4 linked regions of the Lonchura striata genome follow. The protein of the gene in region 1 purifies or fractionates together with the protein of each later gene. This does not show direct contact. Links are inferred from orthologs where the notes say so. Each region holds a gene or a part of one and is shown on either strand. Other genes may lie near its edges. The genes, in order: mitotic-spindle organizing protein 2B, TUBGCP2, TUBGCP4 and TUBGCP3.

Region 1 (7,269 bases):
AACTAATACCAGAAATATTTACCACAAACAACACCATCTTTCCCTGAACCTCACTACACTTTCCCTTTGGTTTCAAGGGCTTGTCCCAGAGAACTCCAGGATATTAACGTGTCCATGTTAAAGGGATACTACAAAGAGAAAAGCCTGGCTGGACACATTAGAACTGAAATCTGAGTCAGACCAGGAGATGCTCTACTAAAGATGCAGAAAGAGCACCAAATTAAGCTCTCAAGACAACTACTAACTCCTGCAGTCTCAGCCTCTCGAAGATGCCTGCAGCAGGGTAGTAGAAGGCAACAATTAAGCACATACCAACTCTACCTGAGGGCTTCTGGCTTTCCCTCTCAAGAAATTTAATGCTGATTAAAAATCAAGTGGCCATTGGCCTGTCTCACACCCTGAGCGAGCCCACTACTAGCTAAAATTAGCTCATAGCAGTAGCTCAGTGCTAGGAAAAGAAAAGCCTCACTTGTCCAGAAAGTGCCCCTTAAAGAGCATAGATAAGAGAACAAAAGCTGCTCCACATTACAGACATACAGGAACAAAAACCTCGCCAACATTCCCTTCGCAGTTAGAGTAGCCTGTAACAGATGGGGCAGCAACAGAGGAGTCAGAGCAAAATTTAACAGCATCCTTTGCTCAAAATCTCTGCTCTTTTGGGATATTTCCTCTTAATGGGGTACCAGAATAGCTCACTGCTTCACACTTGACAAAAATCCAAGTGCTGCACCTCTCCCATTTTGTTTAGGAAATAGTACTCAGGTGTCTGTCCTCTCTTGCCCCTGTGCATATTCAGAGTCACTTCTCAGTCACATGTGAGGTTGTTCTCTTCAGCACAACCACCTCCTCTACAGAGAATTCTGAACCTCCTGAGAAAGGGAAACCTGTTCATGGCGAGTCCAAGGAGCTCTGGACACTTTATCCACACACTCTGCCTGAGCTTCAGCAAACTTCCCGAGTTCCCCTCAGCTGCTCAGAGAGGGGATTCACCTTGAACTTTGCCATTATAAAAGCACCAGATTGTGGCATAACTCCTTTATCCCAAAAGTGACTGCTTTTCAAATTAAACCCCCTCTCAACTTCACTTTCGACATGACTTGCAAGCACAGCCAAGAGAATAAACGTGCCCAACCACCAACCACTGCCCCTGTCTGACACACTTTTGAGCACAAGAGAAATAAACTTTTCCACTGTGAATCCAGGCTTAGTGACAGCAGACTTATTTTAGTTACTTATTTTTAAACCTTTTGGAAGTAATCCACAGAGTTGGTGAGCAAAAAGTCACTTCAGGGAGTAAATGGAAATTTTATTAGAACTGGTTATGAATAAAATAAAATTATATATATATATATATATATATATATATATATATATATATATATATGGCACAAATTCAGGGCTATGGTTTTTACTGTTCACGGACATTATAGTATTAAGGAGAGATAAATGCATTCAAAAGCAGTAACTGCTTTATCTGACAGTCCCCCATAGCCTTCTACTTCATCTCCCCACACAAATTCCATCGCTGGAGGATGGAAACAGCTGGATGAGTGTTAGAAGCCACCACGAACATGGGGGGATAGAGTAAAGGAAGCAATACAGCTCTCTTCCTTTTCCAGGGATTCCTCATGGCCCGGAAACTTTAACTTTTCAAAAGTCATATACAAACAAGCCCGAAAACTTTTAACTTTTTAAAAGTTATATACAAACAAAGCAGTACTGAATATTACTGTAGATTAAAGTGGTTTTCTCCTGTTAAGGGCTTGGCGAGCAGAGCCAGGAGGCTACAAAACGCAGCACAAGTACTGCAGCAGCCTCCCCAGAGCTCCCACGCTGCCTAAAACCCACGAGCACTAAGACAGACGGGGCTGGGGCCGGGCCGGGGCTCGCACGGAGCGGGCTCCCCGGGCTTGGGCTCGCACGGAGCGGGCCCCCCGGGCCGGGGCTCACACGGAGCGGGCTCCCCGGGCTTGGGCTCACACGGAGCGGGCCCCCCGGGCTTGGGCTCACACGGAGCGGGCTCCCCGGGCCGGGGCTCGCACGGAGCGGGCCCCCCGGGCCGGGGCTCGCACGGAGCGGGCCCCCCGGGCCGGGGCTCGCACGGAGCGGGCTCCCCGGGCCGGGGCTCGCACGGAGCGGGCCCCCCGGGCCGGGGCTCACACGGAGCGGGCCCCCCGGGCTTGGGCTCGCACGGAGCGGGCCCCCCGGGCTTGGGCTCACACGGAGCGGGCCCCCCGGGCCGGGGCTCGCACGGAGCGGGCCCCCCGGGCCGGGGCTCGCACGGAGCGGGCTCCCCGGGCCGGGGCTCGCACGGAGCGGGCCCCCCGGGCCGGGGCTCGCACGGAGCGAGCCCCCCGGGCTTGGGCTCGCACGGAGCGAGCCCCCCGGGCTTGGGCTCACACGGAGCGGGCCCCCCGGGCCGGGGCGCCGCCGGGGCCGGGCCGGGCGGCCCGCGGGCCCCTTCCCGCGGCGGCCCGGGCGCGGGACAGCGGCGGGCGCGCCCCGGGCCGCGGCGGGCGCAGCGCGGGGCCGGCGGCCGGCGGGCTCCGGCCGCGCTCGGGGCGGGCCCGCCCCGGGGAAGGGCCCCGCCCGCCCCGCCCCGTACCTCGGCTGTCGGCGGGCATCGGCGCGGCGGGGCCGCTCTCGGCGGCGGGCGGGAGCCGCTGCCCGGCACACATCGACTTCAGCACCTGGAACACGGCGAGCGGCGCCACGTTCATGCGGAGCAGGTCCAGCAACACCCTGCGAGGGGAACACCGGCAGCGGGAGCGCCTGTCAGACGGGGATCCGGCGTCACCGCCGGCTCCCGCGGCGGCGCCCCCACCGCTCACCGGAACACCTCCGGGTCCAGCCCGCTGCCCGCCGCCTGCGCCAGTTCGAACAGCTCCGCCTCCTCCGCGCTCAGCAGCTGCTTCCGCCGCAGCCGCGTCTCCGCCATCGGCGCCGGGGCCGCCATTGTCGCCGGTCCCTCCGACATGGCTGCGCGGTCCCGCCCCTGGCGGCCCCGCCCGTCACACCGGGCCGCGCCCCCTCGCAACGGGCCACGCCCCTCACACCGGGACACGCCCCCTCACACCGGGACACGCCCCCTCACACCGGGACACGCCCCCTCACACCGGGCCACGCCCCCTCACACCGGGCCACGCCCCTCACACCGGGCCGCGCCCCCTCACACCGGGACACGCCCCCTCACACCGGGACACGCCCCTCACACCGGGCCGCGCCCCCTCACACCGGGACACGCCCCCTCACACCGGGACACGCCCCTCACACCGGGCCGCGCCCCCTCAGTGTTCGGCAGTGGCTCAGTCCCCGCCGCTCCGGGCCTGTTGCTCCTGGCGCGGCCGGCAGGTGGCAGCAGCGCTCCAGCCGCGCCCCCGGCCGCGGGCCCCTGCCTGGAGCGGCCGCAGCGCCCGCGGGGTGACGGCGTGAGGTGAGAGGGGTGCGGTGTGTGAGGAGAGACGTGCGGTGTGCGGCGTGAGTTGTGAGGTGAGAGGGGTGAGGTGTGCACCGTGCGGTGTGAGGTGTACGGTGTGCAGTGCCCGGTGCCCGCTGTGCAGTGCCCCGTATCCGCCCCGCTGCCCCCCACGCGGTCTCCCCGCAGGCGCCTCCGCTCCAGGGCAGGGCAGAACCCAGCGGGATCCGCTGAGCACGAAGGGCAGTGCAGCAGTTTGGGGTGCGGAGGTGCCATGGGGACCCGCGGAGCTACAGAGCCCACGTCCTCACCCCAGCTGTCCCCTGGGCCGGGCGCCAGCTCCCTTGAACACGCTGCAGGCCCTGAGCCCAGAGAGCATCTGGGCATCATGCGGGAAAAAGCAGGAAATTTGGGTCTTGAGTCGCACCGTGGCGAAGAGCTGGCAAACTGAGATTGAAATCCCTCCTATCTAAATGGAAATGATCTGTTGCCATCAGGGAAGGATGGTCCAGCCCAGCACACACAGGCCCTGCAGCTGCGCTGTTAATGGGGAACAGAGCAGAGGGGTCACTGTGTCCCCCCAGCATTGCCATGACAGACCCCATCCCATCCCTACACCAAGCCACAGCAGACAGATGCTCCCACTCCACATCCCAAGCAACCTGTGAGTCTGTCAGGGTGCCCCAACCTTGTGACTTGATGGCCAGGCTGACAAACAGACATTTATGGCAGAAGCCAAGACAGGAATGACATGGATAATGATAGAAGGATCTTGCTCTTTATGGCCCAAAGCAGGACCAGCCCAGCAAGAACAATTATTGCTGTGTTTTGAGTGGGAGCAGCTGCTCCAGCATGAGTGACTGCACTGTCTGTGGGGTTGCCAATGCTGAAGCCACAGAGCCTAAGGTTGTCCCAACAGCTGGACTTTCAGAGGGACCCTCAGCTGAGCAGGGAGTGTAGAGTCTGTGATACAGGGGGACTGAAAAACACCCCTGTGCTTGATCTCTTGCCTGTTCTGGTATATGATGTGCCACTTCCTTTGGGACAGGCTGGTAGTCGAGTGCAAATGCCAAGCGCCCTCATTGTGTGGGTGATGCAGTCTCCAGACTTGGTCCCACATGGACAACCTCCCTCAGCCTGTGGCATGTGAGAGCTCAGCTACACCTCACAGCAGAAGAAAGTGAGATGCTTTTCAGCTCAGCCCTTCTCTTGGAACAAAACAAAACAAAACAAAAACAAACAAACAAAAAACAAAAAAAAACCCCCAACAAAACCAAAACCAAAAAAAAAAAAAAAAAGAGAGAGAGAAAACCAGGAACTGCCTTCTGTACAACAAACTGGAGAAGTTTCAGCATGTACCTCCCTCCTTCCCTGTCCATCTGTTCCAGCTGGCAGCTCTCCCTGTGTGCTGTGGTCACCAGCACAGGGCTGGAGACCTTCCCAGGGCAAAGGACAGGAGACTCTGTCCCTCACATGCTTCCTTCATAGGTCACAGCTGTGTCACACCTTCCCCGCATCTCGGTGTAAGCCTGGATGGGCCTAGTCTGCAACGTGGAGTGACAACCTTCTCCTCTGGACTTCAAGGTTTTCTCTGAAGCATTCCTGGGGGCTCCGTTATCTCAGTTTCTCCCTTTTGCTCTCCCAGTCCAACAGGTCAGTAGAGGAAGTCCTTGGGAAACTCCCCTGAGGAGGCCTCAGTTACTGGAGCTGCACTCTGGGTGGCACAGGGGACTCTGGCTTAAATGACACTGAGGAGGACCCTGGGTCTTGCAGCCCACCAGACACTCTCCATTGCCTCTGGCAGGACTTTAAAGCCCAACCACCACTCAGTCCATGGTTTCCAGAGCAGGATGAGCCAGGACAGCCCGGGATGCTGATGCCAGGCTGCATCTCAGCCCTTGCAGAACATGTTTAAGAGAGGGGCTGAGCAGATGGGGGCAAAGGAGGCTCCAACAGCCTGCATGAGCAGAAGGAAAAGAGAGCTAGGAGCAGCAGAGAGCCTGCAATCCTTGGAGTGAGTTACCAGAAAGAACTGCGGGTTGCTCAGACATGGCCCTAAATGGAGGCAAAGCGATGCTGAGCCTTCCCTGGGCACCAGGACACGCTGTGCACGGCCAGGGGAGCACACCAGGGCCAGGCTGTGCCTTGCAGAGGTAACTGCAGCGGGAGAAAGACTGGTGGTTGTGCAGGTCATCAAGCTGAGTGGGACAGGAAGGACAGAATGACTGAGGTACAATCACTGGCTGAGGACACACTGTCAGTGCATGAGATGAGGGTCAGCATGACACCAGGGAGGGAAGGAGCAAGGTCACCTCCCTATGAAAGAAGGGCCAGGCTTAAGAAAACCTGGATATGGTTCAAATCTCAAACAAATGCAGCAAATGTGCCTACCACATCCAGAAAATGGAAAAGAGGGATTCAAATGTATCTGGACTTTTCTATCTTTCTGAGGTTTTTTTGAAGGAAACCAGCTCCCAGATAGAAAAGCAAATGCAAACAGAATTTATCACAGATACATTGTTTCAGGATAAGGTAATGATTTATCTTTGATAATTAACTTTGACAAGGTGATGCAGAGCATTGTAGTAGAATGTGTCCCTGCCCATGAGAGAGGGCTGGAACAAGATGAGCTTTAAGGTGTCCTCCAACCCAAACCATTTTATGATTCTACGCTTTTATGATAATTTAGCCTGGTTACATTTAAGGAAGAAGTTTGATTTGCACCCAGTATGATGCAGTTTCCAATGCTGAAGTCATGGGTATGGATTTAACACGAGGAACCAGATAACCAAGTAAAACGCTGGGCTATGTTAAAGGGATGTCTCTGAGCAGCTTCCAGCACTGCTCCCCACCTCAGTTTTGGGATGCCCCCACTGATGTTAACAGCAAGAAGTGTAGGGCTGGTAGTGTAGAATCATCATGCCTGGGATGTTTTGGGGAGGGACACAGCCACACCACTAGCAAGGCACTAGGATGGTCTCACCTGGAAGATCATGGAATCCTAGGTTTGGGTCAGAAGGTCACCTAGTCCAACGTCCTATTGTGAGCAGGGACATCTTTACTTCGATCAGGTTGCTCCAAGCCCTGTCCAACCTGGCCTTGAACGTTTCCACACATAGGACTTCCACCACCTCTCTGAGCAACCTGCCTCAGGGTTTTACCACCCACACTGTAAAATACTTCTTGTATCTAATCTAAATCAGTGTTCCTTTTAGCTTAAACAATTTCCCCTTCTATGAGCCTGAGCATGGTGGTTTGAAGACAGGCCTGCAAAACTGTGCATGAAAAATGACAGAACTACTCAGAGGTGTAGACTCAAAATTAGGTGGAGGCATCCAAGCAGAGACATCTTAGGACAATTTCCAAACATGACACCAGGAGCAAGTAAGTGGTTTGGAAGGATGTTGGGAACCATTCTGAAGGGACTGAGTGACAGAATTCTCCAAGTCAGAAGTTGAAACTTGTCCTTTTGGGTCAAATATTTGGTCTTTAGGTAAAGATTAGAGTAGGCATTCAGCTGGGACATGTCTGTGCCACTGCACATGTGTGCTATGTATGTGCTACCCTGAACATTCCACTAGCAGCCTGAAGGCATCAGGAGCAAATTTCTCTCCTTTGCTCTAAACTTTGGCAGCTGAGCTGTTATCTGATCCTCCTGTAGATTGCTGTGGTTGGAGGCAAAACACAGCACACAGCATTCTCAGGGATACCCAAGTAACTTAAGCATCCCTGCTAGGGCTGGGATTTCAAACTAATCACTAGGCTTGGGCTTCAAGGAACTTCTCCAGGCCAGAGGGGCAGGAAGGGGGCATGGATAACACGGTGAGGGTTTAACTCAGTCCCACAAGGATCAG
Region 2 (7,389 bases), on another chromosome or scaffold:
TTTGTTGATTTTTACAGATTTCACTGAACTTTAATTCAAGCTGGGCTTGAAATCATTGCATTGTTGCAATTCTTCAACATTCAGTTCTAAACAAGGAACCAACCTCTTTGTCTTCAGTGAGCTTGGACAGCAGGTAAACTAAAGAATCCAGATGTCTAGTGTTTTTAGACTTCAGCTCATCATACTTCTTTAGAAAATCTTCAGGAGTTCGAGAAAACTCTGCTATTTTCACCTGTAAAACACCACGTTAATATTAAATGGAGTTACAATTAAAATGAAATGGAATTAGAGCAAACACGCAGCTCGGGCTACAAAGATGCCAAGTTTCAGACAGAGTTAGAAACTCCCTAGCACTTAGAGCTCGACTGGTGGCTTGCTTTTAAAAATGAAAACAAAAAGCAACCTTATAGCCATAAAAGCTATCTGAGTTATATAGCTATAGAAGAGTCTGGTCATGAGCACCAGGCTTCAATCTCTAATATTTGGGTGATATTCAGAAGAAAAAAGCCACATGTTAGTCATATAACTGCATTTTATACAATTTTCATTTCATCATGGAAGCAAGGAAAGGTTTGGGTGGGAATGTCAAGGTGATCTTGTTCCATCCTGTACCACGGGCAGGGACACTTTCCACTATCCCAGCTTGCTCCAAGCCCCATCCAGCCTGGCCTTGGACACTTCCAAGGATCCAGGGACACAGCTTCCCTGGGCATCCTCCCAGGAAACAACTCCTTCCCAATATGCCACAAAACAACCTCCTTGTTTGAATTTTCCCACACCCCAGTCCTAACAATCCTCTTCTCCCTCAAGGATTCCACCTCTTCCCACGCAGACCTCCCACTTCACACCCAGAACCGTGGCCCCAGACCCCACCAGAGATCTTTCTCCCTAGATGGACACCAACAGGACGAGCTGCTGTGCCCAGAAGAAGGGGGCAGGACCTTGGCACTGTGGGCAGAGACGTTGGTGGTGACGTAGGGCGTGCGGTTCTTCTGCAGCAGCTCGATGTAGACCTCGGCGCCCTCCCCGTCGTGCACCCGCAGCAGGCTCAGCAGCTCGTTCACGTCGTGGTGGATGCGGAACTCGCTCATGCTCCCAGCTCGGGCCACCAGCCCTGGGGACACGGCAACCAGGGGTTATTCCTGCTCCCAGGGGTTATTCCCGGCTCCCAGAGGTTATTCCCTGCCCCGCCAGGGAGATGCTTCTGGAACGTGGAGATGTTTGGCTGGGATAAAGGAGGAGGAAGCAAATCAAGCAGGGATACTCCTTGTATGGTTTGGGTTGAGAGGGACCTCAAAGCCCATCTCATTCTGATGCCTCAGGTTTAGCTTTTGTATTTTTCAGGTTCTCTGCTGCTTTAGTGTGTAGGTCTGGGCTTCACATTAAGGGATGGTGAGATCTCTGCACAGAGGAGGGAGACAAAACAATTCCTTCTCTAGCTGGAGACCAAGGACAAATGATTCAAATCTCAGGCCCAAGAGCACAAACAATGGTGAATTGAAGAGAAAAAAAGAAAAAAACCAAGAAGGATGGGACTTCATAACCTAAAGCTGGAATTGGACAATGAACTCCAATGTACAAATGGAGCAGAACTGATCAAAGTGAGAGCCCCTGTGAGCGCTTGTGCATTTTGGGACCATTTTGGTTCATCTTGGGTGCAGCCCTGGCTGGGCTCTGGTGCTGCCCAAGGTGGATCCACTGAAGAGATCCTTTTAATAAATCCCTGCTTTATTCTTTAACTCTGTCTGGCTCTGTTCTATGTCAGTCTTCTCAAGGCATCAGTGCCACCCCTGCTATGAGTAGGGACACCTTCCACTGTCCCAGGCTGCTCCAAGCCCCAGTGTCCAACCTGGCTTTGGGCACTGCCAGGGATCCAGGGGCAGCCACAGCTGCTCTGGGCTGCTGAAGGTGGGACAGCTCCAGCCAGGAAGTCTAAGACTGGGGGAGACTCTTAAATTGGGGCTGGCCAGCAGAGGATTTTTTCATTCAGAAGGAATGCGGGAAGGACTGCTTGGTGTCCTGACAAGCTGACCCCACTGCTGCTTCTGAAATCACCACAAAGCAGTTTTCCCCAAGTTTAGGGGTCCTCCTATTCCACTGCCCACTTTATTAAATTCACTCAAACCCTGGAGAATACCTAAATAACAACTTTAATACTGACACAGAGCCCTGAGATGAGCTCAGCAGGTCAGAGCCTAGTGCTAACACCACCCAGGCTGTGGGTCAATCCTGGAATGGGCCATTCACTTAAGAGCTGGACTTGATGATCCTTGTAGGTCCCTTCCAGCTCAGAAAATCCTGTGATTCTGTAAATCAGACGTAAGACCCTGAGCCAGGAACCATGGAGATAAATAAGAAGCTCCATGTGACACCTTGCAGAGATTGCATCAAGCAGATACACTCCATATCAAACACAAGGACACACTTCTGTTTTGCCAAGATCATGGAATCACTTCGGCTGGAAGGGATCCCTGCAAGCCGTGGTCCAACTCTCCACTCAAAGCTGACTCGAGTTAGAACAGGCTGCTGCAGCCCAAACTTAAATCTCTTTAAGGGCGCAGCTTCCCCAGCACCTGGGGCCGTGATCCCGCTGGGATTTCCCGCGGGCTGCCCAAGTGCCGGGATATGTGGAATAAATAAATAGACTCCACACCCTGGGGTAGTTATGAAGTGGGTGTGTACTGTCAGCGCCCGGCACAAGTGAGCTCGCTCTCCAAGACTTGTGCCCTGAGCTTTAGTCTGACCCAAACCTTTATTCCCAAAGGCAGGGAAGGAGGAGAAGCTGCGGGAGCTGGGCTGGACTCGGAGCGGCCTCCGAGGGCACCGCACCCGGCACAGCGGAGGGATCGCCACCGCCGGCACCCCCCGCACCAGCCCACCCTCCATACCCTGCTTGACCTTATCCCATTCTATTAAATAAATTTAATTCCGTTTAATTCAATTCGATCTCATCCCTACCTGCCCGCCCGGAAACGCCGCCGCTGGCGCCGGGAAGCGCGCCCCGCGCATGCGCGGCGGGCGGCGCGGGAGCCGCCTCAGCGCGCCCCGCGCAGGCGCACTGCGCTCCCCGCCCGCCATGCTGCCGCTGCCGCCGCGCCTCCGCCGCCTCCTCCGTGAGGGGCTCCCGCCGCTCCCGCGGGACCCCCCGGCCCCGCCGCCCGCTCCGCCCGCGCCGCCCTTCTCCTTCGCCCCCCGCCGCCTCCGCCTCGGCCCCCAGCACCCGCTCTTCGAGGTGAGGCGGCGCCGCGGGGCCGCTCCCGGCGCGGTTCCCCCCGGAGCTGCGTTCTGCAGCCCTGCCCACAACCACCGCCGCTCTCTGCTCCTCTCTAGGATGGGGACGTGCACAGGCATCTCTACCTGCAGGGCGTCCTCAGCAGCCTCCAGGAGGTGGCCGAGAGACCCAAGTGAGTGAGGCGGTCTCGTCTGAGCCCTCCCGTCATGGAATCAAGGAATGGTTTGGGTTGGAAGGGTCCTTAAAGATCATCTCGTTCCTCCCCCCTGCCATGGCAGGGACACCTTCCACTGTCTCAGGTGCTCCAAGCCCTGTGCAGCCTGGCCTTGGGCACTGCCAGGGATCCAGGGGCAGCCACAGCTGCTCTGGGCACCCTGTGCCAGGGCCTGCCCACCCTGCCAGGGAATTCTTCCACTGTCCCAGGCTGCTCCAAGCCCTGTGCAGCCTGGCCTTGGGCACTACCAGGGGTCCAGGCACAGCCACAGCTGCTCTGGGCTGCTGCAGCTGGCACAGCTCCAAGCAGGAAGGCCAAGCCTGGAGAAGAATCTTGGTCTTGCCAGACAGGAAGTACTTTTGAGTGCTGTGTGAGATTCACCTATGGATAACCCTTAAAAAAATCACTGGAGTTGTCATCCACAGCTGCAGCGTTTAGCTTAGACAGCTAATTTATTTATTAATGGCTTGTTTGTTCTTCACCGAAGTACCATTTAACAGGAGCCATAATGGTTAATAAGTTTCCAATGGCAAATAATTTTCCAGCTGCCAGCATCACCACGATCTTTGTTCCATTGCACCTGGCATTTAATTTTAAGTATTAGGCACAAAAAAATGCCACAAGTGTTGTGGCTGTAGGTGTGGGCCTAGTGGAAGGTGCCCCTGCCCATGGCAAGGGGTCGGAATCAGATGAGCTTTGTGGTCCAATCCAACCCAAGCCATCCTGGGTTTCTCTGATAAGTCATCTAGGGGGCATTTTTGTAGCTGAATTTAAAGCTTTAATTTCAGCTTAAAGTCCTGATTTCCCTGCAGGGTGTCCGAGTTCAGCTGCCACATCTCTGGCTGCAGCCAGGTGTTTGACACACTGGAGAGCTACGAGCACCACTACAACACCCTGCACAGGAATGTCTGCTCCTTCTGCAAGCGCTCCTTTCCCTCTGGGAATCTCCTGGATATCCACATCTTGGAGTGGCATGATTCCCTCTTCCAGATAATGGCTGAGAAGCAAAATATGGTGAGCTGCCATGCCCAGCCCTTGCCTCGTGCTTGGTATATGCTCGTTTTTTTTTCCAGTTATGTCTTTTTTCCTCTCTCCTCCCTGCCTTTCAGTACCAGTGCCTGGTGGAAGGCTGCCCAGAGAAGTTCAAGAGCAGCAAGGACAGGAAGGATCACTTGGTGACCGTGCACCTTTATCCTGCTGACTTTCGCTTTGACAGGCCCAAGAAGGTGAAAAGGTAACTGCAGAACTTTCCTCCTGTCCTGCAAGGAAAGTGTGAGGGAACTGGGATTGTTCAGCTCTGAGGTGACCTAAGTGTGGCCTTACAGTGGCTGAGGGAGCTACAGGAAACATGGAGAGAGACTCTTTACAAGGGAAATGGCTTCCCATTCCCAGAGGGCAGGGATAGATGGGATATTGGGAAGGAATCCATCCTAGATGCACTTGTTTCCTCATGAAGTACCTTTGACTTCCTTGGCTCTGGGCTCACATGGCAGCTCCTCAGCCAGGATGTAAAATTTTGTCTCTGCAGTGGCTCCAAGCACACAAGCTCTCCCATGGAGCAGGGCAGCAGCGTGCCCATGGATGTGAGCGTGGAGATGGCAGAGCAATTCCAAGTGAATGCCATGGAAACAGGGCCTGAGGAGAACATGGAGATCTCCCAGCCTGCAGCCAGCCCTGGCCCCTCGCTGCCAGAGAAACGCCTCTACAAATCCAGGTCAGTACTTTGGCCTCAGGGGCAAAATGGGCTGGGAGCACTCCATCTTATCAGCCCTTTGCAGCCTGCCTTGGGGTGTTGCTGTGCTGAGGATAAACCAGGCAGGAATCCCAAGAGTGCTTCCAAAGCCATTTTTGAAAGAAGGAAGTGTAAGGAGGAGCAGGACATGGGTACGCTGTGGGAGCTGTGTTTGTCTGCCCACCTGATCTCTTCCCAAGGTATTGCAGGATGTTGCTGCTGCTCTCCTGCTCCTCAACCACTGCAGCTACCCAGGTGTTATATTTAGTAACACCTTGTTGTAAAGAGCCCTCCAGGACAGGAATGTGCAGAGTACACTGGAATCCAACCAGTATTTCACCTGTTCTTTAAATTATTTGGTGATTTACATGTCCTGCTCCTCCAATTCCTTGCTCTTCCCAGTCTGGGAGCTTAAAATGCCCCACAGAGCATTAAGCATCCCAGCGAGCTTGTGAGGGCTGGGCTCCTAACATGGATTAAAGCCTGTCTCCCTTTCCAGGATCCCATCCACAATTTGCTTTGGACAAGGTGCCACCCGAGGATTTAAAGGACCACGGAAAAAGGTCTGAAGGTCGGTGCAGCAGATTTGTGCAAGATGAGCAGGCATGGAGCCAGTGCCACCAGGGATATTGCCAGTTCCCACTCCATGGAATGAACCACCCAAACCAGTTAAAGCTCTGCCAGCATTTGGGCACATGTTCCTGATGGCAAACAGAACTGGCAGCACCCAACTGAGTTAAGAGTCCTCAGGATTTGAGGAAAGGGAATCCAGAACGTGTGGTGAAGTGTTAAGGAAACTAGCCTGCAGCTGAGGCTGCATGGGACTGGGTGTTTTACTTTTTGCCTCTTGAGGGTAAAAAAATGGATTCAAGAAGTTACAAGATGCCAACGTGACTGTATGGAAGCTGGAATAACTGAGAAAAGAAAACGAGGAGAAAAAACCTCATTGGTCCTCAGTTCTGCCTTCCTCCATCTCACTGAAGTCTCCTCTGCACCCTGGAACCTGCTCTGAGAAGTTTGTCTGGGCCAGGAGAAGCATTTTCACTGGGAGTTCAAATAAAGTGTTTTCCAACCAGGTGAATAAATAAAAGAAATTTTTTACAAAATTGCTTCATAGACAATTTAAGTGCTTTTTTGAAGCCCAGGAGAGTCAGATGTGTGGAATGAACCTCCCTTCGTTTGCTGCAAATGGTGCCAAAATCAGGTTGGGATGGAGGTTATTTTCCCTCTTGCCTTTCCTTTCCTTTGTAATTTCATGTTCCTGGAAAAAACTGGAAACAGAGCCACTGATCTTGGGGTCCTGGTGAATCCTGACACTCAAAAATTGTGCACAAGGGGAAAAAAAGAGGTTTCTGGAACAATGTTTATCCAAGAAGCTTAGGATCTATAATTTTAATTTTTTTTCCCTTCCCCCTCTCTGTGAGGAATAGAAGATCAAAGGGGCTTTGAAAAATCCTTGCAAATGGGAGCAGGGAATGATGTTTACGGAGATGCAGGAGATTTCCCAGTAAGTTTTAAAAAGCTTTGCTATGTTTAAAACTCATCCAGCTTGTCCAGCCCTAATCCCTGCTCCGTGGGCTCTGGAGAGTGCTGTCTCCAGCAAGCAAACCCTGCAGCCACACAACTGCCCAGGGACATCTCTCAGCAGGGACTAAAAAGTCACTTCCCAACACTAAAGCCCCGAATGAGGCATTTTTCCCCACACTGGGATATCTGGGAACAAGCAGCAGGCCCCACGCTACTGGAGATGCCTGCAGGCTTTGGCGTGTGGTGGTACAAAGGTTGGGCAGCAGCCCAGTCTGCTCTTCCTTACTGTGTTCAGGAGTTCTGACCTGGGAACTCCTTTTTCCCAGAGCCCAGGGTCCTCGAGTGCCCACCCTTGCTGTTGGGAAACAAATTGTAGTTACTGATTGTCTCTTAGGCCACCAGCTTTTCCCAGCGTCCATGGGCAACAAAGTATTTCCCAGCTGGCCAGTGGCTGTCAAAAATCCGTATTTCAAGCCAAAACTTAAATTTTCCATCTCTCCAGAGATTGTGCACTGTTAGGAGGACATGGACCTGCCTGCCCTGGAGAGCCCAGGGGTGCACAGGGGTGCCATGTCCCTGAGCAGCGGCACTGGATCCACCCAGGGCCGGGAGGGACATGTGGGATGGGCGGCAGCGGCACTGGATCCACCCAGGGCCGGGAGGGACATGTGGGATGGGCGGCAG
Region 3 (7,584 bases), about 17 Mb from region 1:
CCAGGGAAATCTGCTAGTATACCAGAGGTGTAAGTCTGCAATGGCTTTTGTTTCTACTCAAAACAGGACGTTTTAAGTAGTTTGACTTTCTCCACAAGGACATACAAACATCACAACACTCACACATTCACATTTATCATTTTGAAAGATCAAAGATCAGTGATATGCAGAATAGCCTTAGATATGGAGAAAGACTTCATTCTCACCACAAACCTGCTTTAGATAAATAATGGGGATGGTGACAGTCTTCCCCTGCATGGTACTCCTAATTTTATACCATGCTGTTTTGCACGTACTGTTCCAACAAGTAAGAAACACTTTGACACTAACTTCAGAAGAATGAAGTAATAGTTTTACTGGATCTACATACTTTTCAAGAGCACTGCGAACAGGAGGCAGCCCCCCACAGCTGTGTTTGTGGACTGTCTCCAATATCTGGCACCCATGAATCTGCAGAAAGAAAAGGTTAGACCAGGTCTGTTATTTGGATCTGTACTGACCTTTTTATACATTTAAACATTACACTTTCAGCTAACAAAAAAATGCCTTCACAAACTGAACAAGTCTTACTGAAAGAAAGATGTAACATGCTGGTGTAGTGATGAAAAAGACCTTCTATATGTGGCTCTACACTCAAGCTTCTCTCAATACTTTCCCTTAAAAAATGTAAGCATCTCTGGATTCTCGAAACATTAGCCTCTGCCTTTTTTATTTCCAGCAATGGCCAGAGAAAACAGACTCAGAAAATAAAGATTCCCACTACCAGCATCCTGTCCTATAAAATTCAAGACATCAAAGATTATGGGATAAGAGAAAAAAAATCAAATACAATGTAAATGAATTTGTAAAATAATCTCAGTACTTACAGTAGAGCTAGTAATAGGGCACCCATTACTGAAACGACATTATTTTCTACTTTCAGAAATATGGGATGGGGGCAGAAATTACTTCATCAGTTAAAGAGAAAACCTGTTAAGAGAAACTAACTGCAAGTTTACTGTACCTTCTGAGTTTTGATCTGTTCCACCATGACCATCACAGAGGGGAAGAGTAACTGAAACTGCAGAACAAGTGAAATATTGATGTAGGTTGTTATGTAAGGAAGAGAGAAAAAAACTGTACTTGAGTAACTGTGGACAGCAGCTGAACACAATAATTTAATAAAACTATTACCTGTCTTTCCTCACAAATTAGAAACATGACATGCAAATTTCTAGGAAGTATGTCTTCCCTTCACTGGACCAAGATGCACAAAGTTACTATATTCCAGCAGTAGTTAAGGCTAAACACAGTCAGTGAGGAATGTGTGAGGGTCAAGGTGGAGTACCTTAGTTTTGTGCTGAAGTGCAGGTGATCCTCTGAGTACGATTAAGGGACTACAGATGTAGAGACATTAGATAGAAATGACATGACATGATGGAACAAGCCTCGTTTATCCCACCCACTTTCTTATTAGACTCAATGAGGGATGACAACAAGCAAAGAACACTACTTCTTTAATAACACGACATACCTGGTCCAAGGAGTAATTAACATGTGAGATGGAAAGGTGTGGGTCAGCCAGAAACTATAAAGATAAAGCAATTAATGAAGATTAATTATCACAACCACTAAATGGTGACGCTACCCAAGGTATGACAGCTACTAGTCTAGCAGAGATTAATCAAAACCTCTAAAATTGAAAACAGAAGCCACAGTAGTCTGAGACAGCACTGGGCTAACAGAGATGGAGCCCTTACAGAATTGAAGGTAGAGAGGATAACACTTAATAGAATGAAAAGTAATTTACAATGGCATCTCACAGGAATAATTTGGAAGGCATTCCTAACGTGGAAAGGAAAATACCTTGTTTCATCTTAGAAACTACTACTAACATATTAATTGCAGAAATTACAAGTTTCCACAATCTGCCAGCAGCACTACAGCCTCTTGTTCTGTATCTCTCTCCTTTACCTCTTGTTCCAGGTCAAGTAGTGCCTGTCGATAAGGCTGCAGCACTGAATCAAGACCTGTGCAGAAGGCTCTCAAATAAATGCCATGCAATCCACTCTGGTTTTGCTGAGATGGATGGTGATCCTGAAACCAAACAATAAAATCTGCCTCAGCATACTCGTGCAAGTCTGAAGAGTAATGTAGTATCTGTGCAGTGCCACAGCAGTTGTCAGTGCTTTAAACCTGTTGAAATGCACCTTAGCTCACCACAAAGTGATCAGAAAAACAAATACAACCTTTTCACAATGACAGTTACTCGAGCAGACTGATGTTTAGTTCTTTTGTGGACCTCTGAAAGTGCTGGGAGCCTTTGGTACCAGTGCTTCTTTTCACTTAAGTGTGCCTCTTGGATCTCAAGGCTCTTCGCACATCATGAGGAGATAGTCATGAGCATCCCGCTCAATTGACAAACCCTGGCCAGTCTGCTGTGGTCAGAAATTATTACAAGACGTCCCCAATAATAAGATTTTACATTTGATTCATTATTCTTCATTGCTCTCTACCCTCCCTTACAAGCATCGCGAAGAGCTTTCTGGAGCTCTGCTCGGTGGTGGTGCGAGCGCGGGTATGGGCCACGGACCACTGCTGTGTCCTGGGCAGCTTGGCCTTACTGGCACCTGCCGCGCTCTTCCCGGGCAATACCTCGGCCCAGTGACCCCACCTGCTGCTGTACATGTCCCGTGTACTGCTCCACGAATTCGGCGAAGCGGATGTAGTCGGTGCCGAGGCGGCAGAGCCGGTTAAGGACGCTGGTCTCGCTGGGGTGCAGAAACGGCAGCTCCTGAGACACCTGGAAGAGAAAACAGCGGTGAGGAACGAATGGGCGGACGGACGAGCCGCGCAGGCCGGGGGGTGGGGGGCAGGGGGCAGGCGGGGCGGGGTGGGCTTTGCCGGGGCCGTGCCACACCTGGAGGCCGCCGCGCTTGCTCCAGGTGAAGGCCGCCCCCGGGTAGCCGCTGAGGGCCAGCAGCAGCTCGTGGATCATCCTGCGGCGCGGCGCCGCGCGGGCTGCCGGGAGCGGCGGGGCCGCCGGGAGCGCCGGGCGGGGCTGCGGCGTGCAGCGCCGCCGAGGCTCTGATGGCCACCGTCCGTCCCGGACAGCAGAGCTGCGCTGCCCTCTACGATACGCCTCACGAGGTTTCTTTATCGCTTTCTCAGGTTATTTGTCAGTGTTTTATCAGCGCCAGTTTTACCTTTCTCCATTTATTATGTACTGCTTTCCTTCACTTCCTGTCGTAATCCGGGTAGACTTTTATTCAAAACTGTCTAGTTTGAAAACTATGAAGTCATTTAATAAAGTGTTTTTTAGCAGCCTCTTTTTCATTTACCCCCCCTATTTTTGACAGTTTTTTCCTCTATGTACATGTTTACTCTTCTTCATTTAGAAGAAATTGGTGTTTAGTCTTAAGGGTCATCTAATTTGTATTTGTTTCAGCTTGCCACAATAAGGTCTGAAGGGTAGGAAGAATATGGGCATGTACTAGCTATAGCTATACAGCTTTATGTGTAAATTGGAAGCCCCAACATTGTTGTTTATCATATATGAGGAGTATAATAAAACTATTGTCTTTCTGTTGACAAAACTTCTAGCATCATAATAAAGACTGAGGAGTTGGCCTAGACATTTGTTATGCATCCTTGACATAAATATCACAGTATACAATTGGTCTGGAAACCTCTGCAAAAGAACAGATAACAGTAGTTTATTTAAAGGATTTCGGTGCTCATTTTCTCTGGGAAACCTAGTGATTAGTCATTAAAGCAAAAATCTTAAAAGAATTTTTTGGTTGCTCAAATTTTGAAATGAGAGAAAAATAGGTATCTCTATGATATTTGCAGGGCCATCTGACTAGTGCTCATTAAACACTAGGGGGGAAAAAGACAAGGAACAGGATAGGCAATAAATTAGGCACACAGATACACAACTTTTAATAAAAACATTTTGCAAAGTCGATAACAAGCACCAGAAATCTTAAATCAGGGGAGCTGTTATAGGTACCATTGAGTCCAGCTTTGAAGAGGTTCAGAAAGGTTCTTTGATGACATGTAATAATCGTGTTTTATTTTTCTTATCAGAATGAGATGTTTTTGAGGGAGGTTTGTGGCACTGTGCAAAAATGTTACGAGATTTTTAGGGGGAACAAAATGAATTCTGCACGCCACATTCTACATATAAACATTATTTTAAATGTCTTCTCATTGCATAACTTACAAGTGGCTACATGTGAAGTAATGCAAATGTTAATAAATAGAATCCTAACTGTATTATAAAACCTTTTGTTTTGTAATTTATGTCTGGCATTTCCCAATGTAGTTATTTCTGTAACCATTGAATTATGTCTTCCTTTAATCAATTCAGTTCTCTAAGATTGTTGAGTCCAACCAATGATCGAATGCCACTTTGTCAGCTAGATCAAAGCACTAAGTGCCACATCCAATCTTTCCTCTAACACTTACAGGATGATGTCTCCACCACGTTCCTTGGCAGCCCATTCCAATATCTCACCACCCCTCCTGTGAAGAAATTCTTCCTAATGTCCAAGCTAAACCTGCCCTGGCACAGCTTTAGGCTGTGTCTTCTTGTCCTGTTCCATGTTACCTGTGTATATATAGTAAGTAAATATACTTTTTGATGGGCTCATGGAATCACTGATTTTGGAAGTGACCTCTAGAAGTCTCCAGTCCCACCTTGTTTTCTCAATACCAGGTGAACTCAAGCAGGTTTGTCCAGGACTATGCCTAGTTAGGCTTGAATTTTCTCCAAGGACAGAGACTCCATAACTTCTCTAGGTAACTTGTTCCAGTGTTGAGTCACCTTCAGAATACAACTATTTTTTATTCTATTGAAATGGGACTTTTTATATTTTTCAGTCCATTGCCCACTGCTTCTTGGCATGTTCTCTCGTGCTCTCCTCATATGTCAGATGCTCCAAGCCCTTAATCAATTTCACTGTAGTTGTTCCATTATGTCCATGTCTTCCTTGTACTGAGGGAGCTGAAACTGAATCCACATCTGGGAAGATGAGAATGATAGATTGACTCCTTTGCCTGCTGGGGATGCTTTTCCTAACAGAGGCTATTGGTTTTCCAAATTACTTAATGTGTACTTAGGTAGTAAATGTATGCCCTAGCAGTGAAATTCATGTGACTAATTAAAATGGACACCTGGTGACTGACACTGTCAGTACTCTGACCCTTGAACAAGAAATAGGCAAAGCAACAGTAATATGTACTGAGGGGAAGGAAGTTTTCAGGGCATGATTCTCCTGTGGCAGTGCTGCTGGATGTTGCTATTGTTTAGGGGCTTCCACTGCTTCCACTTGTGGTTGACATTTCATATGAGTTACCATGGTTTGGTCAGTAGAGCTGTTTATGCTACATCCAGCAAGGCCAGGTTTTGCTACTGTGAAGGGCTATGCAGCTGAGGAACCTGGCAGGGCAAGAGGGCTTAGGCGAAGCAGCATGTGGGAGGCAGCCGGGCTTTGGAGGCTGAGCTGTACTGCACACAGTGGGGCGCACGTGGGCTGCGCACACATGGCTGGGCTGAGAGGGTAAAATGTGGGTCATGACCAGGTTGACCTGGGCTGTGTCCCGCGTATGCTGGCAGAGTTTAGGTGAGAGCTTAGCTGGGTGTTAGTTATGAGGCTAACAGACAGATTCAGAGCCAGGGCGCTGGCCCTGTGAGAGGGAGAGGGACCCCGGGGAGAGACAAGACGGCCAAGCCGTGTCCTTCAGGTTTACGGGACGGGCCGAGCTAGATTGGGGCCTGGGTCCGGCCGGAACGGGACTGCGCAACTCATCCTTTCCAGCAGCGCCGAAGGTGGCGGGGACGCCTCGGGTGCGGCCGGGGCGGGGAGAGAGAGCGCGGCGGGGCGACTCCTCCCCCGCCACACCCGGTGCGGCAGGAAGAGGAACAGCCGCGCCCAGCTCCCGCTAGCCCCAGCCCAGCGCAGCGCCATGGCGGCGGAGGACGTGGACGGGCTGGCCGTGTCCCGGCCCCACTATGGCTGTAAGTATCGGGATCCCGGGGTGAGGGAATCCGCGTGGCCGCCAAGCGACGCCCAGTCCGAGCCGTCCGTGCTTTCCAGCGTTCAGCGCTGTGAGGGGAGGCTGGGCCACCGCAGGCATGGGGGGAGCCGCGGGCTCCGGGACTGCCCCTCGGGCACGGTGTGCCCCGCCGGCTCTCCTGGCGGGCCCTGTCGAGCTGCGCCTCCCGCGAGATGAGCGCCGTGCCGCGCGGGACCTTGTCTAAGCTCGACAGTCCTCCTGAGGGTTGGAGACGAGTGCTGGGAGAAGGCAGTGGATGAGCAGCAACGCGACGTCCCATGACTGTGCGGCCGTCGTCTGCCGCGGGCGAGCCTTGCACCTCGCCCAAGATGTCCGCCGCGGGCGGGGTGGGGCGGGGGCGGCCCTGCCTTCCGCCTTCCCGCCGATTTTGGCGACCACACCCGATTTTCTGGGCGAAACACCGCTCCCATTTGACACCTTCATTGCCTTGTCGTGGGCTTGCTATGGAGAGGGAGGCTTTGGATCTTAGCGTCCGATGTGCGGGCTCACCTACGCTACTATACCGCGTCAAAAATGACCAACGGCGGAGGAAAACGTGGTGCTGTGGAGGGGCGATGTTGTAAGCGACAGTCGGTCCGACCTGGTCTTTTAACATTCCAGGGATGGGGCTGCCACAGCTTCTCTGCCTCACTATCTTCTTGGTTCAAGAATTTCTTCCTGTCATCTGCTCTAAATCTCTCCACTTCTAGTTTTAAACTGTTCCCCTTTGTCCTATCAGCATTTCCCTCTTCCTTTTATAAGCTCCCTTTTAAGTACAGAGAGACCACAGAGAAAGCCCTCTCCAGGCTGAGCAACCCGTACTGTCTCAGCCTGCCTCTGTGGGAGAGGTGTTCCAGGCCCCGGAGCATCTTTGTTGCCCACCTCTGGACGTGCTCTAGCAGGTTTTGTGCTGAAGATGCCAGTGTTCCTGCTGGGGTCTCACAAGTGCACCATAGATTGTTGTTGAAATTATCTTAGGTATAAGCTAACCTTTGCTTTATTAACAGTATGAAACATTTCCTATTTGTTAAATTGGTCCATGATACCTAAAAAAGTTGACATGAGATGTATTTAGCTGTAAGTATGGGAAGAGAAGACTTTTTTACTGAGACTTTGAACACACAAAATCTAGAAGATTTAGGCATATTACCCCTATGTAGGTCTTTAGCGTGATCCAAAGATGGCATGTAGGTTGGGAATCTGAATGATTCCCTTCCATGTAGGGAGTGTGAGTAGCATTTCTACCTTGCTTTAGAGGTGGACTATAAAGATATAGAGGGGGTTATATGATGTTAATATGTATTTGTGTCCTTCCTTAATCTTTTGCTATCAAAATTGGAGGATTGGTGAGGGGACAAGTGGTCACTGATGTGCTTTTGAGGAAGACAAAGGCAAAGGTAGAAGAAAATAAGAAAATAAAAGATTGTTTCTAAGAAGTTGTAAGAGGGATGCTGTGAATTTGAGAAATCAGGAAGAAGGAAGCTGGCAAATTTATGTGACAAGGATAAGGAAATTGAGTGTTTTCTCTTGCTAGTAAAGAACAAG
Region 4 (7,161 bases), on another chromosome or scaffold:
GCTATACAGTAAGAAAGTAGTTTATATTTCTTTTTCTCATTGGTAATGTGATTTTTTTAAGCTGATTTAAGCAGTCATAGCTGTACCAGAGTTCATAAAACCACAATGAATTTCATGTGCTAGCAACCTGCTCTATCAGAATTAGCATTTCTAAACAGGATTTTAGGATTCATTCTTTCTATTACAAAACAAACAAGGAGGTCTGTGAGGAATGACACTAATCAAATTTAGTTTCCTTCTATTTTCCATTCGTCTTGTCTCTTTCTGACCATTTTCCGCATTATGTTCAGAGTTCCAGTCCCTTCCACTTTCAGTTCTTAAATCATCCATCCACCAAGCTGGGCAAGCAGAGCTGGTACTGTAGGTGGATTGGAGCTAGGATGTGTGTCTATCTGTCCAGGGTGTGTACACACCAATCAGCTGCTTTGCTAAGGGCAAACAGCAGGGAGAAGTAAGTTCCCCATACCTTTCTTTTTCAAAGGGGGACTGACTTAAGCCTTGGTACTCTCAGCTGCTGAATTCCATTCAATTTTACTTATATCCTTAAAAACTCTATGCCTCTGCTGAATTTCTTTAAAATTGGTGATGAGATCCAGCAGTTATGAGGAGGCACTGACATACAGAATAACTGCATTAAACCTCATTTCTTAGGAAAAAGAGACTAGAAATGAGAGAATACATTCTCAGTAATGTAACAGAATGGCTGGCTATCACACTACTTCATAGTGTGACATAACATAGCATGTGGTTGTGTTGAAGTTGAAAAGCTTGGGTTTGTGTTTTTACTGCTGCTTGCAGGAGGCAATGAGCACACCCATTTCAATGGCATTTTCTCATCATGCTGCTCTGTAATGTGTTCTGATTTCAGACCAGTGACACAATTGCTTTAGTTAAAATGAACTAGTGTGACCAGAAAGTAATATCCACTTAAAAGCAGTAGCAGGATATTTGTCAGTGACTGGATTCCCTTGGAATGTTAAGGTTTTATAAAGGAATACCACTTCCAGATATAATTGCCGAGGTTATTTCTTTTGCCTCATGTGAGAACCATATTTGCTGCTTGCTAGATTAACACCTTCCACGGTGGAATCTAAAATCTGAAGTGACTAGCAGCAGTGGTGAGTCACCAGCCCTTTGTAGCACAACTGCGTGTGCTTTGGGCAGAAAAATGGAACAGAGACTCTTCTGCTGTTCAGTACCAAAAAAAAAAAAAAACAAAGAAAGCTTACAAGCTTATACCATCTTTGAAGCCTTTACTTCAGAATTATTGAAAATTAAGCTTACAATTCATATTTACATAGGGTAAAGTTCTGGTAACTTTATTCATTTTGGGTCCTATTTTACTTCTTTAAAAAATGCAAAGAATGTATCACTAAGAACTGAAGAGTTCTAGTGTGAGTAATTAGACTATGAAGGTTTCTACTAGTATATGCCAAGCAACAAATTGCCATACATCCTCAATGTGTTTCAGTTCTTGGCTTGCCACTGTGATTTGTTTCTAGCAGTCATGCTAGCAATGAGCTGATGTTTACATCTGTAATGTTCCCATAATGAAAGGCCATGTCTACATGCCTGCAGAAAGCATACACACAAAATTGTGGCTATGGAAACAGTGAAGCCAAGGGGAGCTGTCAGAAAGCCACGCGTTGCACAGCAGGAATGATTTCACAGCCAGCAGTGCACCAAGCCCACCTGGCTGCTGCTGCTGCAGCATTTCCAGTCACAGGTTACACAGGATTCCAGCAGCACAAGGGTAATAATTACTTCCTAAGTATGCCTTTTGGGCTGGACACAGCATGAATTTACTGAAGAGATAGAACTCAGACACCTGGTAACATCAGTGTCTGTGCTAGGGGTGACAAGCCTGAGGAGCAGGTCACAGGGAGCAGAGCAGACCAGCTGTGAGCGTGCTGTCCCTGGTCCCAGTGCTGCCCAGCAGGCAGAGCCCAGGCCCTCCACAGGGACTGAGGACACCCAGCTGCACAGCACAGCAGGACATGGACACGTGGGTCTAGGATCCTCACACATTTTTCCAGACCCACCCTGATTTGTAATTACTTTGTGTGGAAAAGCCACAAATGAGCCTCGATCCCCAAGGCAGCAAATCACAGAAATGCAGCCACCCCAGCCTGTTCTCTGGGGGGAGTAAGTGAACCTGCCCTGCCCATAAGTAATTCATTCACCATGTTCAATTACTTCTATGGAGTGTGGGGGCAAAACCCTTAGATACCTGTGAGATCTTCAAATTTAGTTGGGAAATCTCTAGTAAAAATTCGTAACAAGGTGAATATCTTCATCTTAAACCATTTGTGTAGTTAGCCGGCTTTGAATGTAAAATATAAGGTAGTGATGTAATTGGGCAAAATTTAATGGGTAAATAACAAAAAAGAATTGAGTTTCAACAATCTAATGGTTGTTCCTGTCATTCCCTCAGTTTATACTTTAGAATTTTTCTTTTCCCTGGCTATGTTCCTTTTCAGCGCTTTTATGTTATGTTTGTGAGGATGTCTGTATGTAGCACTTATGGCTATTGTGGGATTGTTGCAAAATGTGGAATATGTAAATATTTCTGAAGAAAGGGTGTTCTCTGCTGTTTGATCTTTGTATACTTTCAAGCCTAAACAACAACAAGAAAAGGAGATTTAATCTGTGAAACAGAGAGCAACTAAGAAGCTGTAAGCAATGTCCAGGTGTTAGAAAGACAAATTAGTTGTTGGAAGAATTGCTTTGTTAAGGTTAGGGCTCGATATGTTTCAATGACCTCAGACCCGGGGGAGGTTAACCAAACTTGGGAAGAAGAATATACCACTGACGGTGCACACAAAGAATGCAGAATTGAGATGTCACAAGGACATCTAGCAGAACTTCCAAGATCAAGAAGTAAATAACAAAGCAAACTCAGCAACTGTGCTGAAATCAGCTCCGACTGGGTAAAAGGTAATTCTGGCAGGACGAGATTGTGACCCCTGACTCACAGCCACCGACTCTCAAAAGAAGACTGAAAATGTGGACTAATAAGGATGAGAAGCAATGGAACCATGAATATAGAATATAGAATACTAATTAAGAACAGAACTACGTAACTTGTAGCCAAGAAACATTAATTCCTTTGTTTACTAAAATGGATAAATAGTAAAATATTTTGATAGTTAGGATGATAGTAAAAAAAGCTTTTGATGGTTGGGCTTTGCGAATTTGCTACCCAGGACCCCTTTCAGTGCAGAACTGTAAATAAATCAAATACCTCGACTCTGTGTGTATTAGCCTCTAGCACACCGGGTTAAAGAACCTCTTTTGGCAAGAGGACTACTCTGCATCCGTGTCTACGTTCCGCAACCCCACATCCGAAGGCCTCTGGCAGCCCACCATCAAGGCTTTTCGCTCCTGCCCGCGGTGGCCGGAGAAGGCCGGCACTCGGGCACTCCGGCACTCGGGCACTCCGGCACTCGGGCACTCGGGCACTCCGGCACTCGGGCACTCCGGCACTCGGGCACGCCGGCACTCCGGCACTCCGGCACTCGGGCACTCGGGCACTCGGGCACTCCGGCACTCGGGCACTCCGGCACTCGGGCACTCGGGCACTCCGGCACTCGGGCACTCCGGCACTCGGGCACTCGGGCACGCCGGCACTCGGGCACTCCGGCACTCGGGCACTCGGGCACTCCGGCACTCGGGCACTCGGGCACTCCGGCACTCGGGCACGCCGGCACTCGGGCACTCCGGCACTCCGGCACTCGGGCACTCGGGCACTCCGGCACTCGGGCACTCCGGCACTCGGGCACTCGGGCACTCCGGCACTCGGGCACTCCGGCACTCGGGCACTCCGGCACTCGGGCACTCCGGCACGCCGGCACTCGGGCACGCCGGCACTCGGGCACGCCGGCACTGGGGCACTCCGGCACTCCGGCACTCGGGCACGCCGGCACTCGGGCACGCCGGCACTCGGGCACTCCGGCACTCGGGCACTCCGGCACGCCGGCACTCCGGCACTCCGGCACGCCGGCACTCGGGCACGCCGGCACTCGGGCACGCCGGCACGCCGGCCCCGCCGCAGACCGCGCCGCAGACCGCGCGCTGTGAGGGCGGGCGGCTGCCGGCACCCGGGCCGGCGCCCAGGCGCGGAGGCGGCGCGGGCCCGCCCCGGAACCGCCGCGCGGGGCATTGTGGGCGTGCGGCCGCGGCTGCGGCTTTCGGCGGGTCCCGTGAAAATGGCGCCCTAGGCGGGAGCGGGAGGTGCCGCCCGGTCCCTGCGCTGCCGCCGCGCGTCCCGGCCCCTCCTTCCCTCCGCCAACCCGCCCTGCTCCGGCCCTGCCGCCGCTCCTGCATCCCGCGCGGCGATGGCGACTCCGGACCAAAAATCCCCCAACGTTCTGCTGCAGAGCCTCTGCTGCCGCATCCTGGGCAAGAGCGAAGGTAACGGCGTCCCCCGCCATCGCCCGGCGGCAGCGCTCGGAGCCCGCGGGGGCTGCCCCGGCAGGGCTGGAGAGGTGCCGGGCCCCTCGGCAGGGAGCGTCACCTCCCGGCCCGGGGGTGACAGCCCGGGAAATGCCGAGGGGCCGGGCACGGCAGCGGCCCTGCGAGCCGGAGCCCTGCGGCGGGAGGCGGCTGGAGACGGCTCCGTGCCCTCCTCCGGCTCCCCCGGAGCCTTTGGCCGGCTGCTGAAGGCGCTGTCCTCCTCGGGGAGCGGGGCACCCGTGCCGGGGGTTTGGGCGAAAGGGGGCTCCGTGTTCGGGTTGAGGAACCTCCGCCTCCCGCCGGTGCCTGCTCGAGAGGAGCCATAGACGTGCGCCAGGTCCGCTACAGGTCCTCGTGTCTTGATGCTGCTGTGAGTCTCCCGCAGGGCAATGAATCTCTTGTCTGTTTGCCTAAGTTTCTCCCTTGCAGTTAAGGCGAAGACTGTTTTTAGTAAGCAGTCGGAGGGGTGGAAAGGAAGGCGTGCATCTGCGGAGTCTTCTTTTTAAATTGCTCTGTTTATCAGCGTGGCTCGCTAGATAAACTCATGCAGAAGCTTTTATTGCATCTTTTTTCTTGTATGAGAGATGGCTTTCTCCCTTATTAGTAGTGTCCATCAGGTCTCTTATTCTTTTCTCTCTCCATGCCCCTTTCTTCTGAAAAATCCCTTTAGATATTTCCAGGACAGTAACTAAGACTTTTGAGCATTACCTGTTGTAATAAATTACTTGAACATGGCCTACATGTGGATTATTGCTAGTTTAGGACTCTAGAAAGTGTGTAACAAGATGCAGATACATATATTGTCTGTTTCTCAGACTTTGTTCCCATCTGTTGCAGACAGCATGGCATGGTCTCACACCCCGTCGTTATCTCTCAGTTGGAGAGCTATAGGCTTAATGGATGAACTGTTTAGTGAATGAGGAACTGAAACTGGTAGCATGGCCACATCCAAGGAGTTGTAGTCACTGTGTCAATGTCGGAATGAAGATCAGTAGCAAGTGGTGTCCCTCAGAGGTCTGTATTGGGATTAATCATGATCAATATCTTATTAATAACATAGACAGTGGGCTTGAGAGTGCCTTTGGAAGGTTTGCACATGACACCAAGCTGAGCAGTGCAGGTGATGTGCTGAGGGAAGGTAGTGCCATGCAGAAAGACCTTGACAGCCTTGAGGAGCACACCTGTGTAAACCTCAAGCTTATGCCCGTGAGTTGAGGCAATCCCCAATATCTGTTGAGAATGGGGAATAAGTGGATTGAGGGCAGTCCTGCAGGGAAGGATGTGGGGAGTGGATGAAAAATTGGACATGAGGCAGTAATGTGTATCCTGGTCAGCATATTCTGAGCTCCTTAAAAAGAAGCATGGACAGCAGGTAGAGAGCAGTGATCCTCCCCTCACTGCTCTGCTTTTGTGAAACCCCATCTGCAGTACTGTATTCAGCTCTGGGGCCCCCAGTTCTGAAAGGATGTAGATGTATTAGAGCAGGTCCAGAGGAGTGCCATGGAAGTGGTGAGAGGAATGGAGAACCTCTCCTACAAAGCAGATCTGAGAGAGTTCGGGCTGTTGATCCTGGAGAAGGCTCTGCTCAGAGATGTCACTGTGGCCTTGCGGTGCTTAGAGAGGGCTTATAAGAAAGACATGTTTAACCAAGGCCTAAAGTGACAGAACAAGGGGCAATGGCTTTAAACAGTTATAGGGTATGTTTAGATTGGACACAGAGAATAAAGTTTTTACAGTTGGGGTTGTGAGGCACTGGAACAGGTTGCCCAGAGGCTTTGTGAATCCCATCCTTGGAAATGTTCAAGGCCAGATTGAATGGGGCTTTGAGCAACCTGATCAAGTGAAAGATGTCCCTACCCATGTCAGGGAAAGTGGACTAGATGGTCTTTGAAAGTCCCATCCAGTCCAAACCATCTTGTGATTCATCTGAGAACCTTGGTAAAGTTGGTAGGAAATTGGAAACTTTGTCTTCACTGACCTGTTGAGTAGGGGACTCCTTCACAGAAAACACTCTGTGTAACTCTACGATATTAAGGGTCTTTTTCAACGTGAATAATTCTAATATCAATAGCTGTTGATTGCTATGTTTTGTTTTTCAAAATCTTTTCCTTCTCCATTGCATTTTTAAGTCTTCTGCAAGACAGTATTTTTTTCCCCAGAATCTATAGTATTTCTGTATCAGGAATTCCTGTTATAAGATTTTATCAGAATGTGGCAAATTTCTAGTTTTCCATGTCCACCAAATCAGCAGTAGTTTCTTAATGGTTTAATGCCTCTTGTGTTCTTCTGTAACCACATCTTTCTTTTAGCAGGTGTTTTAACTGTATTTTAAAGGATACTTTACATCAGACTACAGTTCTAAGGTGCTCTTCTAGCTTTTTTTTTTAAAGCTCTTTCTTGCCTTTAACATTTTTCAGAAACTTTTTTCTGATACAATTAATATATGTTCTTGTTTAAGAGTATTTCAAACATTTGCTACCAGAAATCTCAAATTATTGTGCTAATTACTAGGTCTATTTCCAAAAACAAATTAAAAAAAAAAAAAAGGAAAATAGATTATATTGCTTTAGTGGATGTCTTTTCAAGGCCATTATTTCTATAATGTCTAGTCCTGTTTTCTTCATTACTCTTTTCTTAGATTTGGAGTCTAATCTAAACTCAATCTAAGCTTGTTTCTTAGTGTTATCTAGGTCTGTGATACTTTAA

The links.
Region 2: the proteins of mitotic-spindle organizing protein 2B (region 1) and TUBGCP2 purify together in Homo sapiens (affinity purification with mass spectrometry; 5 studies listed by BioGRID and IntAct, counting the BioPlex papers as one, with this or other methods). This does not show direct contact. The link is inferred for Lonchura striata from reciprocal best matches to the Homo sapiens genes MZT2B and TUBGCP2.
Region 3: the proteins of mitotic-spindle organizing protein 2B (region 1) and TUBGCP4 purify together in Homo sapiens (affinity purification with mass spectrometry; 3 studies listed by BioGRID and IntAct, counting the BioPlex papers as one, with this or other methods). This does not show direct contact. The link is inferred for Lonchura striata from reciprocal best matches to the Homo sapiens genes MZT2B and TUBGCP4.
Region 4: the proteins of mitotic-spindle organizing protein 2B (region 1) and TUBGCP3 purify together in Homo sapiens (affinity purification with mass spectrometry; 3 studies listed by BioGRID and IntAct, counting the BioPlex papers as one, with this or other methods). This does not show direct contact. The link is inferred for Lonchura striata from reciprocal best matches to the Homo sapiens genes MZT2B and TUBGCP3.

Annotation. Positions count from the first base shown.
Region 1 is NC_134613.1:7,856,727-7,863,995, reverse strand, and holds the start of mitotic-spindle organizing protein 2B, read right to left. Parts: upstream 3,011-7,269; 5' UTR 2,978-3,010; coding exon 2,832-2,977; intron 2,743-2,831; coding exon 2,606-2,742; intron 1-2,605. UniProt on the Homo sapiens protein: Required for the recruitment and the assembly of the gamma-tubulin ring complex (gTuRC) at the centrosome.
Region 2 is NC_134609.1:37,381,246-37,388,634, forward strand, and holds the start of TUBGCP2 (gamma-tubulin complex component 2), read right to left. Parts: upstream 3,003-7,389; 5' UTR 2,959-3,002; intron 1,226-2,958; 5' UTR 1,092-1,225; coding exon 942-1,091; intron 233-941; coding exon 104-232; intron 1-103. Other genes in the region: ZNF511 (zinc finger protein 511), read left to right, coding at 3,008-3,232, 3,331-3,404, 4,259-4,460, 4,556-4,680, 4,975-5,160, 5,678-5,747. UniProt on the Homo sapiens protein: Component of the gamma-tubulin ring complex (gTuRC) which mediates microtubule nucleation.
Region 3 is NC_134613.1:24,617,784-24,625,367, forward strand, and holds the start of TUBGCP4 (gamma-tubulin complex component 4), read right to left. Parts: upstream 3,019-7,584; 5' UTR 2,978-3,018; coding exon 2,900-2,977; intron 2,783-2,899; coding exon 2,654-2,782; intron 2,077-2,653; coding exon 1,954-2,076; intron 1,568-1,953; coding exon 1,514-1,567; intron 1,061-1,513; coding exon 1,004-1,060; intron 451-1,003; coding exon 371-450; intron 1-370. Other genes in the region: ras GTPase-activating-like protein IQGAP1, read left to right, coding at 5,950-6,001. UniProt on the Homo sapiens protein: Component of the gamma-tubulin ring complex (gTuRC) which mediates microtubule nucleation.
Region 4 is NC_134604.1:91,911,252-91,918,412, forward strand, and holds the start of TUBGCP3 (gamma-tubulin complex component 3), read left to right. Parts: upstream 1-4,161; 5' UTR 4,162-4,337; coding exon 4,338-4,413; intron 4,414-7,161. UniProt on the Homo sapiens protein: Component of the gamma-tubulin ring complex (gTuRC) which mediates microtubule nucleation.